2 linked regions of the Lepisosteus oculatus genome follow. The protein of the gene in region 2 purifies or fractionates together with the protein of the main gene of each other region. This does not show direct contact. Links are inferred from orthologs where the notes say so. Each region holds a gene or a part of one and is shown on either strand. Other genes may lie near its edges.

Evidence for each region.
Region 1: the proteins of marchf5 (region 2) and mfn1b purify together in Homo sapiens (affinity purification with western blotting; 4 studies listed by BioGRID, with this or other methods). This does not show direct contact. The link is inferred for Lepisosteus oculatus from reciprocal best matches to the Homo sapiens genes MARCHF5 and MFN1.

The regions. Positions count from the first base shown.
Region 1 is NC_090708.1:1,648,601-1,656,346, forward strand, and holds the start of mfn1b (mitofusin-1b), read left to right. Parts: upstream 1-4,739; 5' UTR 4,740-4,763; coding exon 4,764-4,829; intron 4,830-6,033; coding exon 6,034-6,157; intron 6,158-6,366; coding exon 6,367-6,502; intron 6,503-6,619; coding exon 6,620-6,782; intron 6,783-7,448; coding exon 7,449-7,573; intron 7,574-7,746. Other genes in the region: calcium-activated potassium channel subunit beta-3, read right to left, coding at 158-264. UniProt on the Homo sapiens protein: Mitochondrial outer membrane GTPase that mediates mitochondrial clustering and fusion. Membrane clustering requires GTPase activity. It may involve a major rearrangement of the coiled coil domains.
Region 2 is NC_090699.1:23,826,682-23,833,918, reverse strand, and holds the start of marchf5 (E3 ubiquitin-protein ligase MARCHF5), read left to right. Parts: upstream 1-4,221; 5' UTR 4,222-4,562; coding exon 4,563-4,606; intron 4,607-7,237. Other genes in the region: cpeb3 (cytoplasmic polyadenylation element-binding protein 3), read right to left, coding at 221-1,110, 3,199-3,334. UniProt on the Homo sapiens protein: Mitochondrial E3 ubiquitin-protein ligase that plays a crucial role in the control of mitochondrial morphology by acting as a positive regulator of mitochondrial fission and as an important regulator of immune response.

The DNA of each region.
Region 1 (7,746 bases), on a different chromosome or scaffold from region 2:
GCCCCAGGGCCGGGCGACTGGCCCTCGCCGTGCTCAGGCCAGGTGAGGGAAGAACACGAAACGACGAAAGACGAATGGGGGGCCGAGCAGTCTGGGGCGGCGGGGGAGAGGACTTCTCCGGAAGAGCCGGAGAAGGCAGAGAGAGTGGTTACCCTACCTGGTGAAGCGTCTGCGCGCGCACTGCAGCGTGATCTGGACCGGGACTCCGCAGGACCCCCTGCGCGACGCCGGCTGGAGAGACATGTCCGCTCCCGGCTGGGACATGGCAACGCGGACCCCGGCCCTGCCGCGGCGGAGCACACACACACACGCTACCGCCCGGATGAAGTGCGTCGCAGAGGCGTGGAGCCTCTGACGGGAGGATTGCAGGTGCGGCTCGCACCCTGTCCCTCACCTGGGCCTGGCTGCCGCGGCAACCGCCCGGGTTCCTATAGGAACGCCAACAGACGAGCCAGCTAACGATGCCCCGTGGGCTGTTACAGGCCCGGAGGGAGACTCCTTTCCTCAAGACGTGCGTGTCCTGTGCTCCATGTTTACGAGGGATTAGCTCCTGCTGCGTGCGAGGAGGAGAAGGGAACGAGAGGGACCACTGCACTGCCCCCCCACCGGGGGGACGCTGTTCAAAAACACAGCACACGGGCAGAGGACGGGCTCCTCCGGTCTGCGCCTTGGACAGAGCCGGCGACCAGGCGACCAGGCACAAGCCTTCAACAAGCTCAACCCCGCAAACGTCTCCGATGAGCAGAGCGACATGAACCGGAAGACTCTGGTGGAAACTACTCGAAGGTGTACTTCAAGCTGAGAGGCAGAGGTGTGGGAGTGTGGAACAAGCTGCTCGGCCATGTTGTTCAAGACGGTACCCTGGCCTCTTCCAAGAAACAGCTGGATGAGATCCTCCGATCACCAACATACTGACTACCAAACGGTTAGATGGGCCGAAAGCCTTTGTCCCGTTTCCTATGTTCAGAACAGAAGGTTAATTAATCTCCACAATAGGTGATGCAGCTACCAGACGAATCGGGCATAATGTGTGCAAAAGGTTACAACTCCCTCAGATATTCCGGCTCAGACTGAAATTTCAGATTCTGCAGCAAAAGCAAACTGCATACCAACAGTAAAATACTCGAGTGGAAGAGACGTAATTTTGTTTCCATTTTTGTCCTGAAATCTTTGCTTTGCCCGACAGTTAGAGAGGGTTTATGGGTTAAAACAGCAACAGGGTCTAATGTACCTATTAACTCAGATCCCAGGCAATAACGCTCTTTCTATCCTGTCCTTTCACTTCATACCCAACCACGAACTTCATTCCTGCTTTCAGCAACCGCCTAACGATCTGTTTGTCACGCTGAGGTTCTTCATGTCAAGGTGTTGAAGCTGGTCAAGACACATCACCACCTTCCCCTGGCGCTCAAATCTCTCTTAACTGCTCGCAGAGAGCGCAGGAGAGGCAAAACCAGCGAACGTACTGTAACTGTCGAGGGTTTTTAGTTCACCGGCACACGCGAAGCGCAACGCAACGTCTTCCGCAGCAGTTGAAAGAGAACTGATGCATGCATACAGATTTTAAGATCCTTCCAGCTGCCTACAGTTAGTGCCTTCGTTCTTGTCACTGCGTGCTTCATGATAAGACAAAGCAAACAACATAACTGTGACATTTCTCGGACATGGACGGAACTGGGCGCAGCACTATCTTTCCAGCCCTGTCAGCAACCGGCACACTTACATGGGCAGTGTCATCGGCGCTGCTGTGGAGGACTTCAGCCCAGGCGATCTCTCTCGGTTTTTTCAAGGTTCCAGCGAACTTAGTCCTGTTTCTCCCATTTCCCGGGCTTCGATCTCCCAAACCGCCAGGGCTTCAGCAGACTGGAGTTTCAAATCCAACTTTCACCCTGACAATATCCCTCTGTTTAATAATGCATGAAATGTGTTTGTGCAGGTGCTGCTCGCAGGGGGAAAAAAGATATCAAAATAACAGAAGGGCACGCAGACCTTTGCTGTACATGCAGATTTTACGAAGATATATCAGTTTTTGCTGCCGTAGGCAGGAGTGATGTAAAAGCTGTGTGCTGCAGAATCGGACTGCTGTGTGTCCCCAGATGGGTATCACCGCCTGCACATGTATAAAGATGGAAAAAGCCAACTGGGTTATTGAAGAAGCATTAACATGTCCCTAATATTTTAAAGTGTAAAACTTGATCTATAATCTGTAGCTTCCAACATCTCTTGTGAAGGCGCTAACAGGCAGGCTCTGATTAAAAAAAAAACATCGATTCGCATCTGTCCCAAGGCCGCCGAGAACAAAAGGCAGTGACTTTCTTCCTCGTTCTTTTACAGATGTGTTATTTCGGGGAAATAACAGGCCTAATAAAGTGATGTTATGTTAATAAAGTGGTGTCATCCACCTGAGAAGACTTGAAAAGACATAGAGGAAACATCAATTTTTTCCCCCGGCAAACTCATCCTCTCCGTTTTCATCTGCCAGATGTGGGACAGCTGATATCGTTTGAACTGCAACATGCGATTGAGTGAAACATTCCCAAGCACCTGGCGAGCCCGTGCCCTGGACCTCGGGACTGTAGAGCAAAGAACCGGTTCGTATCCGGCCCTGCTGGGCGCTGTGGCCAGACTCCTCTAAAGAGCGGAGCTGGGGAAGGGACCCGCGACACATCTTCCATTGCAGGGCCTGCAGTGATCGGTACACACGGAGAACAGCCGAGGTTTGGCTCCGAGTACCGCTCTTCGTAGCAGAGTCCGTTTTAAGCGACTCACAGCTGTAAAAAAGGTGCATGCCTGCAGGACGGTTTTCTCCGGACAGTGCCTTATCGTTCCGCTTGAGGCCACACGGGCACCTTTTCAAACAGGGAAACACGATTGTGAAGAACGTCACGAAGAAGGAGTGATGAACTGTGAATAACTTCTCCCTTCATTTTCTCAAGATGCTTGCTGTTCCCGCCTGACAGCGATCTGTGACATGGGCGCTCTTGCTCAGAACCAGACGGACCAGGGCAGGAGTACACCCTCCTGGACTGAGCCCAGTCCGCTACAGCGCTCACGCAGGGACCATTTAGGGACAGCGCTGTACCGCACCAGTGTCTTTGAAAGAAAGAGAGGAGAAGACCCAAACGAACAGGGAAAGAACATGCAAACTCTGCACAGAAGACCGGATTCACACAGAGGACCCAAGGGCTGAGGGCAGCGCCGCCCCGGCCAGTGAGACACCGTTCTGTGGGTTGTATTAATGTAATATGACTTTAACCTGTGTTTACGTTGTAATATCAGAGTCTAGCGCGGATGGGCAGTTCAAGGATCGGTGAGCAAATACTACGATTTTCTTGTTAACTGCAATATCACTCTGAAAAAGCGCTCTGTGGCGATACGGGCCCACCCGTGCAACTCACTTTATTGGTTGAAAACCGATTCCGGTCTTTGAAAGATTGTTTTTAAAGCTGCGAATGGTGGTTCACAATATTTTTGGCTCACTAACCCCTCTTGTCGAGGTGAATTTCGGCGCCCAAGGTCAGGGTAATGACATTTAAACGTAAGCATCTCGTTGCACTTGTGCATATGACAAATAAACTGAACTGAGCTGAACACTGCAGCGCTTCACAGCGCCGGCGGGGTCGCTAGAAGAAGCAGTGACACGCTGCGCCCGCCAGGGGGGGGGCATGCCTCTGGTGCTTTGAGCTCTTGTCCCTCCCGCCCCGGACGGTTTACGCCTTGCGCTCTTGTTTCCCTCCCGGACGGTTAACGCGGTGCGCCCGTGAGCTCGACCCCGCAGTCACGCCTCCCCGGCCGGGCCGAGTTCTGACCGAGCAGCGGAGCGGAGCGACCTGTCCGGCTCGACAACACCGCACTGGCCGCGGAGTATGAGCAGCCGCAGCTGCCTGTGAGGAGGCCCGGAGATCAGGATAGACGAAGGGAGGCGGAATCTCAGCTCTGTCAGGTATAGCAGGAGCTATGTTGCGGTTTTCTGCAGTTCCGAACAGTGATGAGAATGTGAGGAGACACTGCGCACAGATACGGTGGCAGTTTCATGGCGAGGAGGGTGTTTAGGTGCATAAAACTGGCTGGCTGTCACCATTTGAAGATCCTGTAGCCCGGTTTAGTTTTTTTATTGCTTCCAGGCAGTTTTGTTAACAGGAATACGGTTTCGTTTCGTTTCGTTTCGGGCGTGCGGTCTTGTTTCAGTTTTAAATCTTCAACTGGGTAGTTTTAAAGTTCCAGTACTGATAATACCGGAGCGGTTCCAAGGTAAGAAATCTAAACAAAACACAGGCCTCTGTGTCTTTCTTGTTAATCTCCTGTTTATGAAGCTTGTGTCTGACCAAGGCGTCCGGCCCCAGTCGAGACAGGGAGAGAATTCAGGAAAGGGGAATAAATTAGTCTGGGATACTTGCCGGGTCATTAATTAGCGCTACATGAAGGAATGAGGGATATTCTGAAAAATTAAGCCTTGCTTTGCACAGCCAGGTTTTCCCGCGAGTTGTCTATTTTTCCCCAAGTCTGCATAATCATTCGGTTCTGAAATTCTTTAACTATCGGGATAAAGATATCATTGGGTCTGAACCGAGCAATGTCTGCAACTTTTCCAGTGTGACGTAGGACAGGTGAAGCGCTGTCGTCACGTACATCGCCTACCTCATACTAGAAGACTTGTGTGATAGCACCAGTTTCAACACTTCAAACTGACGCTTTTTTGCCTTTAAGTGTCTGATAACCACAAGCTATGCTTTAAAAATAGCTGTATAATATATATTCTTTAAATGTTATTCATGATGACTTTTAAAGACCCAGAGACCATGATTGCTACAGTATTAAAAATAAGCAAGGTAATTTTTTTCATTTTTTTCTTACTACGTGCTAGGGACATCTAAAACTGGCCATTGAAAACGCTCCTTTTCTGTTTTATAATATCTGCTTTGTGATTTTCCTGCTTGTGAAGTGTAAACAGAAACAAGGTACTAAAATAGATGGGGATTAGCCAGCTGTTCCCTTTGCAGTGCAGACGTCACTCGGTCAGGTCAGGGGTGCTATTTCTGTGCTCGTCTGGTACTGGGGAAGGATGCACAGTATTATTGAACCCCAAGATTATCAACTTTATTTGCTTTAGTATTCTAACCTTCTGTAAGTTTGAGAGACAGACTTGGAAAGAGATACTACACAGAAGCGAAACTAAAACCTTTTCCCCCGCAGTCTGCTCAAGTGGTGTGTGAGATGGGTGGGGCTGTAAAGAGTGTGTTTCCCAGTGCTCTTCTGTGTTTACACACTCTCACAGGGTGTGTGTGTGTGTGTGTGTGTGTGTGTGTGTGTGACCTTACTTATGCATCCTAGGAGATAAGCCAGTGTCACGAGGTCACCCACAAACCAGAGCTTAACATTACCTGTCCAGATCTCTGTATGGCACAGAATTCTCTAGTTTTCTCATGGGTCTGTTCCTGCTGTAGCAGTGCAGTCATGTTTCTTGCACAATTAATGTACAATTATGAGCAATTCTCTGACTCTTTGTGCTTGTGGAGTCCCAAATCATTCCGACCAAATAGCAATAGTTAATGGCCTCTTACAATTTTTTTAAAGTGAGAAACATGATCCAATCTATAAGCTTGTTGCAGACTCTCTCACCCCTTTGGGTAAATAAGGACCTCCTGTTCTCAGTTTTAGACGCACTATGGTGCGTCGTCCACCTGTGTTCTCTGATTTGTGTTTCCATGGTTATCCTGAAAGAAATCCACAGGCTTGACTCAGTAAGTGATTTTAAATACTTGAATCAGGTCGCTTGATAGTCTTCTCTGTTCAAGATCAAAAAGGTTCAGTTCCTGTCGGTGTGGGATACTCCCTTCAGACCAAAGAGACTCAGTTCCTCCAGCCTGTCAGTGCAGGACACTCCCTTCAGACTAAAGAGACTCAGTTCCTCCAGCCTGTTAGTGTGGGACACTCCCTTCCAACTAGAGAGACTTAGTCTGTTTGCCTGTTATTGTGGGACACAGCTGTGATGTCCACAGTCCCTCACGTAGTGTCGAACTGGCTGCTTTTCAGGACAGCAGCATGGAGCAAGGAGACCAGTCCCCCCTGAAGCACTTTGTGCTGGCGAAGAGGAAGATCAGCTCCATCTTCCAGCAGCTGCTGGATTATGTCAACGAAGGAGCGGCATTCCTGGAAGGTAAGGGAAGAGGACCGCAGGAGTCGGGATCTTGGCCGTGCTGCAGGTGCTGGAGTTTGCGTCCATCCCGGCGCTAAACCAATCGCTGGGCGCGCGAGTGCGCCGCCACAGCAGGGCCGTCCTCGTTGGCTACAAACCTTAGAGCTGGGCGGGGAGGCGGGAGGAGAGACGTGAGACGTGCCTGAAGCTTTTCGGTCTGCTCCTGCCAGAAACCTGCCGGACCGAGGAGCTGGAGCAGATCGCCACGGCGGAGCAGCGGGCGCGGATCCAGGCGGACACTGAGAAGATCGCCGTGATCAGCGAGGTCCTGGCCCGGAGGCACATGAAGGTGGCCTTCTTCGGCAGGTACAGGCGCCGCGCCGCTGTTCCTCCGCGTGCCCCCCCCCCCCCCCCCCGAGTGCGGAGGCCGCCGGCGCCCGCCGGCGCCCGCCTGACCCCCCGCGGCTTCGTTTCCTTTCCCAGAACCAGCAACGGGAAGAGCACGGTGATCAACGCCATGCTGCGCGACCGCGTGCTGCCCAGCGGCATCGGCCACACCACCAACTGCTTCCTCAGCGTGGAGGGCACAGACGGGGACAAGGCCTACCTCAAGACCGAGGGCTCGGAGGAGGAGCAGAGCGTCAAGGTGCGGCAGCCCGAGTGTCCGGGAGCTGGCGCTGAGGGCGTTCCCAGCCCTGCTGCCCCTGTACCCTCGGAAAAGCACGTCGGTGTCAGCCGGGGCCTTGTGGGAGCCTGCGAGGTTTTGAAAGGCGGCGCTGTCCTGCGCACAGTGGTACCGGGTTCCCCCCTCCCCCCCAGCTGCCACACGGCAGAAGTCAGGGGTCACTCCGGGGCCCCCTCAGGGGAACTGGGCACGGGCGTCGTGGTGCGCTGCTCCGCAAGAGTTGAGAAGCTCGGAAAAGGCCCTGCCTGGCTTAAGAGCTTGAGGAGGGTTGATATTATTCTGGCAAGCGGTGCAAGCAGTGTGATTCCGCCCGGCACTCCGGTGCAGTCCTGGGAGGTGGGAGAGGTGCTTTGAGCCCGAAGGGGGATATAAATTTGGGATCAGAGGCTGTCCTGTCGGGGCAGGGTACGTCACCACCTGATGTTGGTTGGCTTCATCTGGCACAGTTGATGCCTGGAGTGACTTTATTTTGTACTGAAATCACGATGGATGTAACCGAGGCCTGTCTGTGTTCTGCTCAGTCCTGTGAGTGCTTTATATGAACTTAAGTAACAGGATTTAAAAAAAAAAGTGTTCAGCATCCCTTTGTCTGCCCCCCGCTCCCCGCTCCCTCCCTGTCGCCAGCAGACCGTGAACCAGCTCGCCCACGCCCTGCACATGGACAAGAGCCTGGACTGCGGCTGCCTGGTGAAGGTCTTCTGGCCCAAGGCGAAGTGTGCCCTTCTGAGGGACGACCTGGTGCTGGTGGACAGGTATAGTGCCCGGTCCGAGGCCAGGGCCACTCGCGTCAGGCAAGACTCCCCCTTCCCCTCTCGAGTCTGTTTGCTGAGTGCCTGAACTTGACCACATGTGCCGAGAGCAGAATGAGCCCAGGCCTCTCCTGGCCTGTCATTCCTGTTCAGCTGGTGTGCTAAGAAGAACAAGC
Region 2 (7,237 bases):
CAAACCGGCATATGAATGCTGCTGCAATATTAATCCACGATTAAAATTTAAAGAGCTATTTATTCACCTATTATATGATAAATTTATAACGGGCACTGTGAGAATACGTATTTGAAATGACTGAAATGTCAGTGTTCTAGAGGGCAAAATATATACTGTATTTGCGTTAGGACTACATGGCAAGAAAACAGACAACGCTACGTTTCAGCGATGGGTTTACCTGAAAAGGCAGCATATTGTTGCTGTTGTCTGTTCTGAAGGCGCTGTCGTCCATCCAGGATTTGGGGGTCAGAGGGGCAGCTCTGGGGAACTTCGGCGGGGCAATGACATTGCTAGAGTAAGGTTTTTTCAGCGGGGAGATGGGGTTAAGGGGAGACGGCACCCCGACGCCGACCCCCACCCCAACCCCAACGCCCACTGCTCTCCGCGGGTCCCTGCCTGCCTGGAGCCCGCTCCAGGGGTTGGAGGCTGTGCTCCAAGAGGGATTCTGGTGATTATTCCAAGCGGACGAGGAGGCGGAGGATGAAGGAGCCTTGCTGTTCATAAGGGTCTGGTGGCTGTAAGCATTTCTCTGGGGGAACGGGGCTTGGTTGGGACTTACGGGTGACCTCCTCTGCTGCTGCTGCTGCTGCTGCTGTTGTTGTTGCTGCTGCTGCTGCTGCTGTTGTTGATGCTGATTCTGTGCCAAGCCGATCTGGGGTGAGAATGTGCCCCCGAATACCGGGTTAACGTGGTGGGGGAAATTCTGGAAAAGCATTGTCCCATTCACCGGGGGTATCCCTTGGAAAAAGCTATCGTCCACGGCGTTCGTGGTCCCGGTAGACCAAGTGCTGCCGAAGGAAGGGGACACGGAGGTGCCGCCGGGCTCCTGTGGCTGGTGAAAACTCAACCCCGGCAGGATCGGCGACTCCATCGGCACTTTCTCTTTGCTGCTCTGGGGGGTCGCTGCCTGGCTGATGACAGTCGTCGGGCTCTCCTCCGATTTGGGGGGTTCCGAGGAGGGGGTCGGGGTGGTGGAAGGAGGCTCTACGCTTGCTGGATCCTGCTGCTGCTGTTGAGGCTGGGCTTTGCTTTTGTCCATCAGTAAATCATCCTGCATGGTTTGCTGAGCTGTAACAGGGAAAAACAAAGACGAGTTATTACGGAGGTTCTCATGAGCCACAGTCGCCAGGCTCCTATGGTATTTGGCCAGCAAGAACCCGGGGAGGGGGTAGTTGTTATTATTGCTACCAGTAATGCTGGGACAAGCCGACTGCAAGGCAAATCCGGAATCACCCATTTAGCAGAAACTACGAACTGCCGGTATGATCGCGCTAACTGTATTCTCTCGCATGAAAGACTTATCGGCTTCACCCTTTCAGACGCCTCCGTTCCCCTCAGCAGTGAATGGGAAGATATGCTTGGAGGACACAGATATTCACCAATTTTCGCCACGTCTCTTTTTCCCTTTTCACCGGAACTCCAGACTGCAATGTGAAACTGATTCTTGTTCCTGTTTTTTTCTAGGACCACCCCTAAATTCATTTGCATACGTCAATAAATACAGCTGCGTCCTTCAGCAAGGTTAAAGAGATACACCACCCCCCATTTCACAATCAGGGTATTTAAAGGGACAGGTGACGGATATCTCAATAACGAAAATAATTCAACCTTGCGCTTTTTTTAATTGAAAACAAAACTGTTAGGTCAAATCAAACAGTTGCCTGACACCAAAAACATTGCAGGAAAATAGCTTGGTCATACCAACGTAGTGCTGAGGGAATGAAACTAAAAAGAAAAGATCGAGAATGTGGCGAGAATGAGATAATCGTTATTCTTTGTTAAATAAAAAAATGAGATGGCTCCACAATAGGCACATTTGAATGACGTGGTTTTGTCAAGAAGAGCACAGAGCTTGTTTAGATCTCGGATGAAATATTTACCCTATGCAAAAATACTGATTAGAAATGCTTACATAATCAGGCCTAAGGAGAATGGTTATTTCGTATCCCAGCTCTTATCCTTGTATTCCTCCTCAATGAAAGGGGTGGGGATGGGATTCAGGGAGTTGCATTTAAAAATATTAGCAATTCGATTTAATTTCCCCAAGTTTTCTTCTCTTGAAATCCCAATAAATTATTTGTTTTTTTTAAAAAAAACAATGGTTACTCCCATTTCATTATCTTTCCTGGTAAAACATGAGTTCCGAAGCCATGAATTTTCAAGATCTAATTAACGTAGATACTTTAGTGACACCCGCAATTTAACCCCTTCCTAAATATGAAGGGGAACATGAGCTATAGCTCACATTCCCACATTATTAAGACTATTATTAGATTGCACTATTTGGCACATATATCGAAAGCAAGTAAACATTCCCCTAAACTAAAGTCACTTGTACTATATTTGTAAGGGTTTTTTATTGACGTTGTTGCAAATTAAATGACAGAAAAATAATTCAATATATTGTTTTAGTTAGAGATGATCTTCAAGTCGTTGGGGGTATTTTCTAAGAAAGGCAAGGCAAATCGCTGCGATTAAAATTAGACCTCACTGATCTCTCGAGCAACTGCAGCAAATGGTTAACCCAGACGTCAAACTAGACGGAAATTCTTATCTACTTTGCATATTTAAAATGTAATCCCGAAGGTTATGAAAATATTCATTATAAAAATAAATGACACCGTGCTTAACAAGCAATAAAATCGCTCGTGAACAGTATGAATTGTGTTGTATTGAGTTCTCTAGTGGTTTATAAACTAGTAAAATAAATACTGAGCCGGAAAAAAAATTACGTTATAATTATGTAAAAATGCGTTATGTTATCGATTTTCGTCGGTTGCATTTCACAGAAAACATTAAACAATTTCATATACAAACTGGTAAACATCGTACAGCTCGCTTCTCCATAGCTAATCCTTGTTTTTCCTGTCGCTACAGCAGCCAAACCAAGGTCACCAAACGTTTTGAAAGTAAAACAGCAATGGGATCTTTATACAAACTTATTTACAATAAGTACACTCTTTGTAAGAAGCCGCACACAGACATTATTAGAAATACAATACACAATCTATACGTATACAGAACACGTAGATATATCTTCATTTTCAGTTTTTTTTTAAATCCGGCATTCAACTGATGTTTTTTTGCTTTAAAAAACATCGTTGACTGTCATGCACTGCGTGGTACTTCTACAGTTTTCAAGAAACGAGGCTTTACCTTTTTCGTTCACCTTTTGGGGTTCTGTAAATAGGGCTATTTCTGTTAGCCTCGGCTGGGCTTGGAAATGACAAATGAGCTGCTGCCGAGGTAGAGTCAGCAGTAGCTCTAACAGCTGATTGACTCGGCGGCGCATGGGTGAGACTGAAGAGATTGTAGGGATTTGTAGTCCTCTGTTGCGCTGCGGTAGTATCTACGACTTGTTAAGTTGTATGAGCGAGAAAGTGAGCTTGATTATCACGGTTCTAGTATTACTATTGTCCCTACTTGGATTTATGTTGTCCAGCTTTTACAAGTTTTAAGTTACGTCAAGAGTGTATTTAAAGTATCTTAAGTGTATATAGGCTAAGGCTGAGGGGTTCGGTCTGCAAACCTCTTACTGTAATTCAAAAACGTCCCCGAGACTCAGAGATAAAACCAATTGATGTTAACGTTTTTTAAAATCATTTGACATGCAGTAACGACACACCCGATTTATTCGTTAGGTTTTTGTGTTCGTGAATGTTATTAGACGAAATAGAACATAGCAATTACTTGATAGCTGCAAAAGGAAGAGATGCGCAGTAGAAATACGTGACTGTGTTTTCAGTGAGACTGGAAGAGTCACGGGACACTCCGATGACCGGGAAAAATAGCATGATTTTTTTAAGTGAACAAATTTCTATATTAATACATACGTTGCACTGAAATCCCCGCAAACTGCACACAAGAAATCAAGTAATTAAGTTATCGACAAGCAACGACAAGGTGATTGTTATGACAATTGTTATCATCTATAAAAAGAAGGCAGTGCCCTACCAAAATAAGACGTATTCTGAAGCCATATGTGTATCTTCATGCTTCTTGTCATCCCAAGCAGGCGTCGAGCCTCCGGGCAGACACGAGATAGAGCATAAATTTGTGTAAATTAACACGATGTAAAACGATAGGAAATCGGACTACATATCCCAAGCTCCCAGCGAGTGTGCCATTTTCCGGAGGTTGCTCCGGCAGCTTGTTATTATTGGTGACGCAGTGCGCATCGCTGTCGTCCCCTTGTTACGTCACAGAGGTTGGCAGTCAATGGAGTCAAGCAGTTACAACGACGTGATTACATTCATAACAAAACAAAGTATCATTCGGCAGGGCCACAATCTGGATGTGGGAATTAGTTCTTTGGGATGATAGATGGTCCTTTTTTTAGTAGTCGTTATTTTTTGCAACTGAAGATTTTTTTTAGCGTTGGAGTTTTGATCGCGTCCGTGTGCTTGATTTAAGCCTTGCGCTGGCAAAGGCCCCGTTTTTTTTGTGATAGAGACATTACGGGCCTCTATTCAGTATTAGGTGTTGTAGAGGAAGAGTGGTTTTTAAAAATTGATACCGACATGGCAGACCAGAATTCTGCGGTCGTGCAACAGAGTTTCGACAGGTGGGTAAAAACATGCATGGTTTATTTAATAACCTGTGGCTGCATGCTCCGAGAAGCCTTCGGGATGCATTCCTGAGCTGTTTCACAAGGTTTAAGTCATTCACATTACAAACCTCACTGATCTGCAGCTTAGAGGTCAGGAATAAGGAATTGCAATTGGCAGTTGAACACAATAAACTATAATTCTGAGTCCTAAAGACCTGTGCATGTGGATAAAAAGGGGTCGACGCTTTCCTGGGCAGTAGAAATATGGAAGTGCTCCGTATTTCGTTCCTTCTTCTAAGCTCCTGTCGGAAACAAATGAGGTAGTTGATAAGTTTGTTGCACGATTTCTCACCGCTTTACAGGCTGTATGGTGTGGTTCGGGAATGGCATCCCTGAGTTATAACGCGTGTTTCCAAAGGCGTCCTGGACATATACTGTGGGTTGGAGCAGCTTTAGCAAGGATGTCTAATCCTGGTCCTGCAAGGGTCTGGTGTCTGTTAGGTCTGCAAGGTCCCTTGAAAACAGCTGCACCCGAAAAGCTGGGGAAGCTGTTAAATTGGTCGAGTTAAGCCAGTTACTAAGCTAAACTGTTTAGTAGTAGTAGGTTTATTCCATGCTGAAAAGAGAAGAAATACAAAAACAGCTGAAACGTTGTTTTCTTTCTTCTCTTTTCAGCATGGAATAAACTTATTACTTGTTCCTTTGCAGCCTACGCATGCTGACGCAGCTCCCCACCTAGACTGTTTAAAGCCGAACTTGCATTATTAACCCCGGAGGCAAAATCTGCTCTACCATTTGCTACGGAATCTTAAAGTATGGGGTCATCTGTCCAGTACGAGCATGTCTGACAGATCTCACTGCTCTGGTACTCTGGTACCATCATGCTCAGTGTGGTACCTGTCATCAGTGCTCATCATGATGGTAGGGCCATCATGCTAAGTGTGGATACCTGTGATGATCAGTTCTTTCTATGCTCAATGCTGTTTCCACCATAAAAAAGTCTTGTAGAGATTGAAAATGATTGTGCGCATCATAAGTGACCTTACAAGTATTCTATATTCTGCTTTTTCATTGCCGAGAACAAAGCAGTTTAGTCGCTTCATAATCCAAGAGAATCGTGTACAGAGTCTATAGTAGTGTAGACCATAATTTATTTGAAATAAGCACCTAGTTGCTGTCTAGGGCCCAGAAGATCTTTGTTGATGTTGCAAAGTGGTTTTGCTTCACTGTAAGGACCAGTTGCTATTGTCCTTTGTTGCTGTAGTTCAATATGGATGATCTTGCACATGTCTACAGTTTTGTGAACTCTTTTTGAATCACACCAAATGTTTCTGTCATGCTGGATAATGTCAAAGAACTTTTATTAGGACCTGTCATGCTGGTTGCTCTTTAGTTTCCAGGAATTGACAACCTTTTTCTCAGTCTGGTCTCCCACATTACCCATTTTACCTTGTAATCAATGGCCTCAGTAGGGCCTAGTGTATGGTATACTGGTCATATAATATTTTCAGGAGTAGCACTGTGTGTTGCTGGAAATAAGATGTGACTTATGTTAAAGTTTTCTGTTCTACTTGTAGATTACTGATTTCTACTCTTTAAGAGTTTGCAAGGATACTTTTACTTGATTTAAATGTAATTAGTCTAAATCTTCTTGCTGGTTATGTTGACATTGAAAGTGGTGTCATTACAATTATTCTTTTAGGGGTTCAAGCTTCAAAGTTTGTATACTTGTACCAGTTTAGTACTGACGAGTGTTGTATACATATCACTCATGGAGTATGGTACAGGGATTGAACTTTGTATCAGGCAGTACAAAGTTAAAATGATTTGATTGGCCTTTGTAGAATTCAGGAGTTGTTTACATTTCCATCATGCTAAGACCTTCATTGATTTCTTGAAAAATACTACATAGTACGTTACAATTATGAAGGTTATTGTCATATGTCTGAGATTAGGTACACTAAAATAAATCTATAACATTTTCCTATTTTAAAATCATTTTAAATCTAGTGAAAATGATCCAAAGCAACTTGTATCAACTGCAGATTCATATACTTGTGAAAATCTATATTTCCTGTGTAGCAAAATGGAATATATCAACCGTTTTGTATTGAGGAAATTAGAATTGGTAATTGGCGTTATCTGTTTTGAGGTTTTCACCTTAGACATGAATATTCATTTATATTTTTGGCATCTATGTTTGGAGGTCAAGATTTTAAGAAAAGTGGCATGGTTATCTACTTCCAATTCTGAAATATTTTCTTTCAGAAATAATTTCTTCTTCTCTCACCTCTAGTTTCTTGGTTATTGCAGTTCTGTGCAAATCAGCTGCAGGAATACCAATAAAAGCAAGGCCTTCGATTTCTACCCTGGACACAATTCTAACATATTTTTGATTTTAACTACAGTGCCCTCCATATTTATTCATATTTCTCCTGACATAGAATCAGAAACATAATCTAGCAGAATGGGTTATGGATTGGATAATGTCTCACTTCTGTACTGTAATCATAATGCATTGCACATGCAAAGTCATATTTATCGTAAAGAATTGAATGCCAGAGAACAAGAGGGAACATGAATTTCATGGTTAAGGTCAGAGAGAGCTCTTCGAAGACAGCAGACTCCGCAAGATAGGGAATGGCT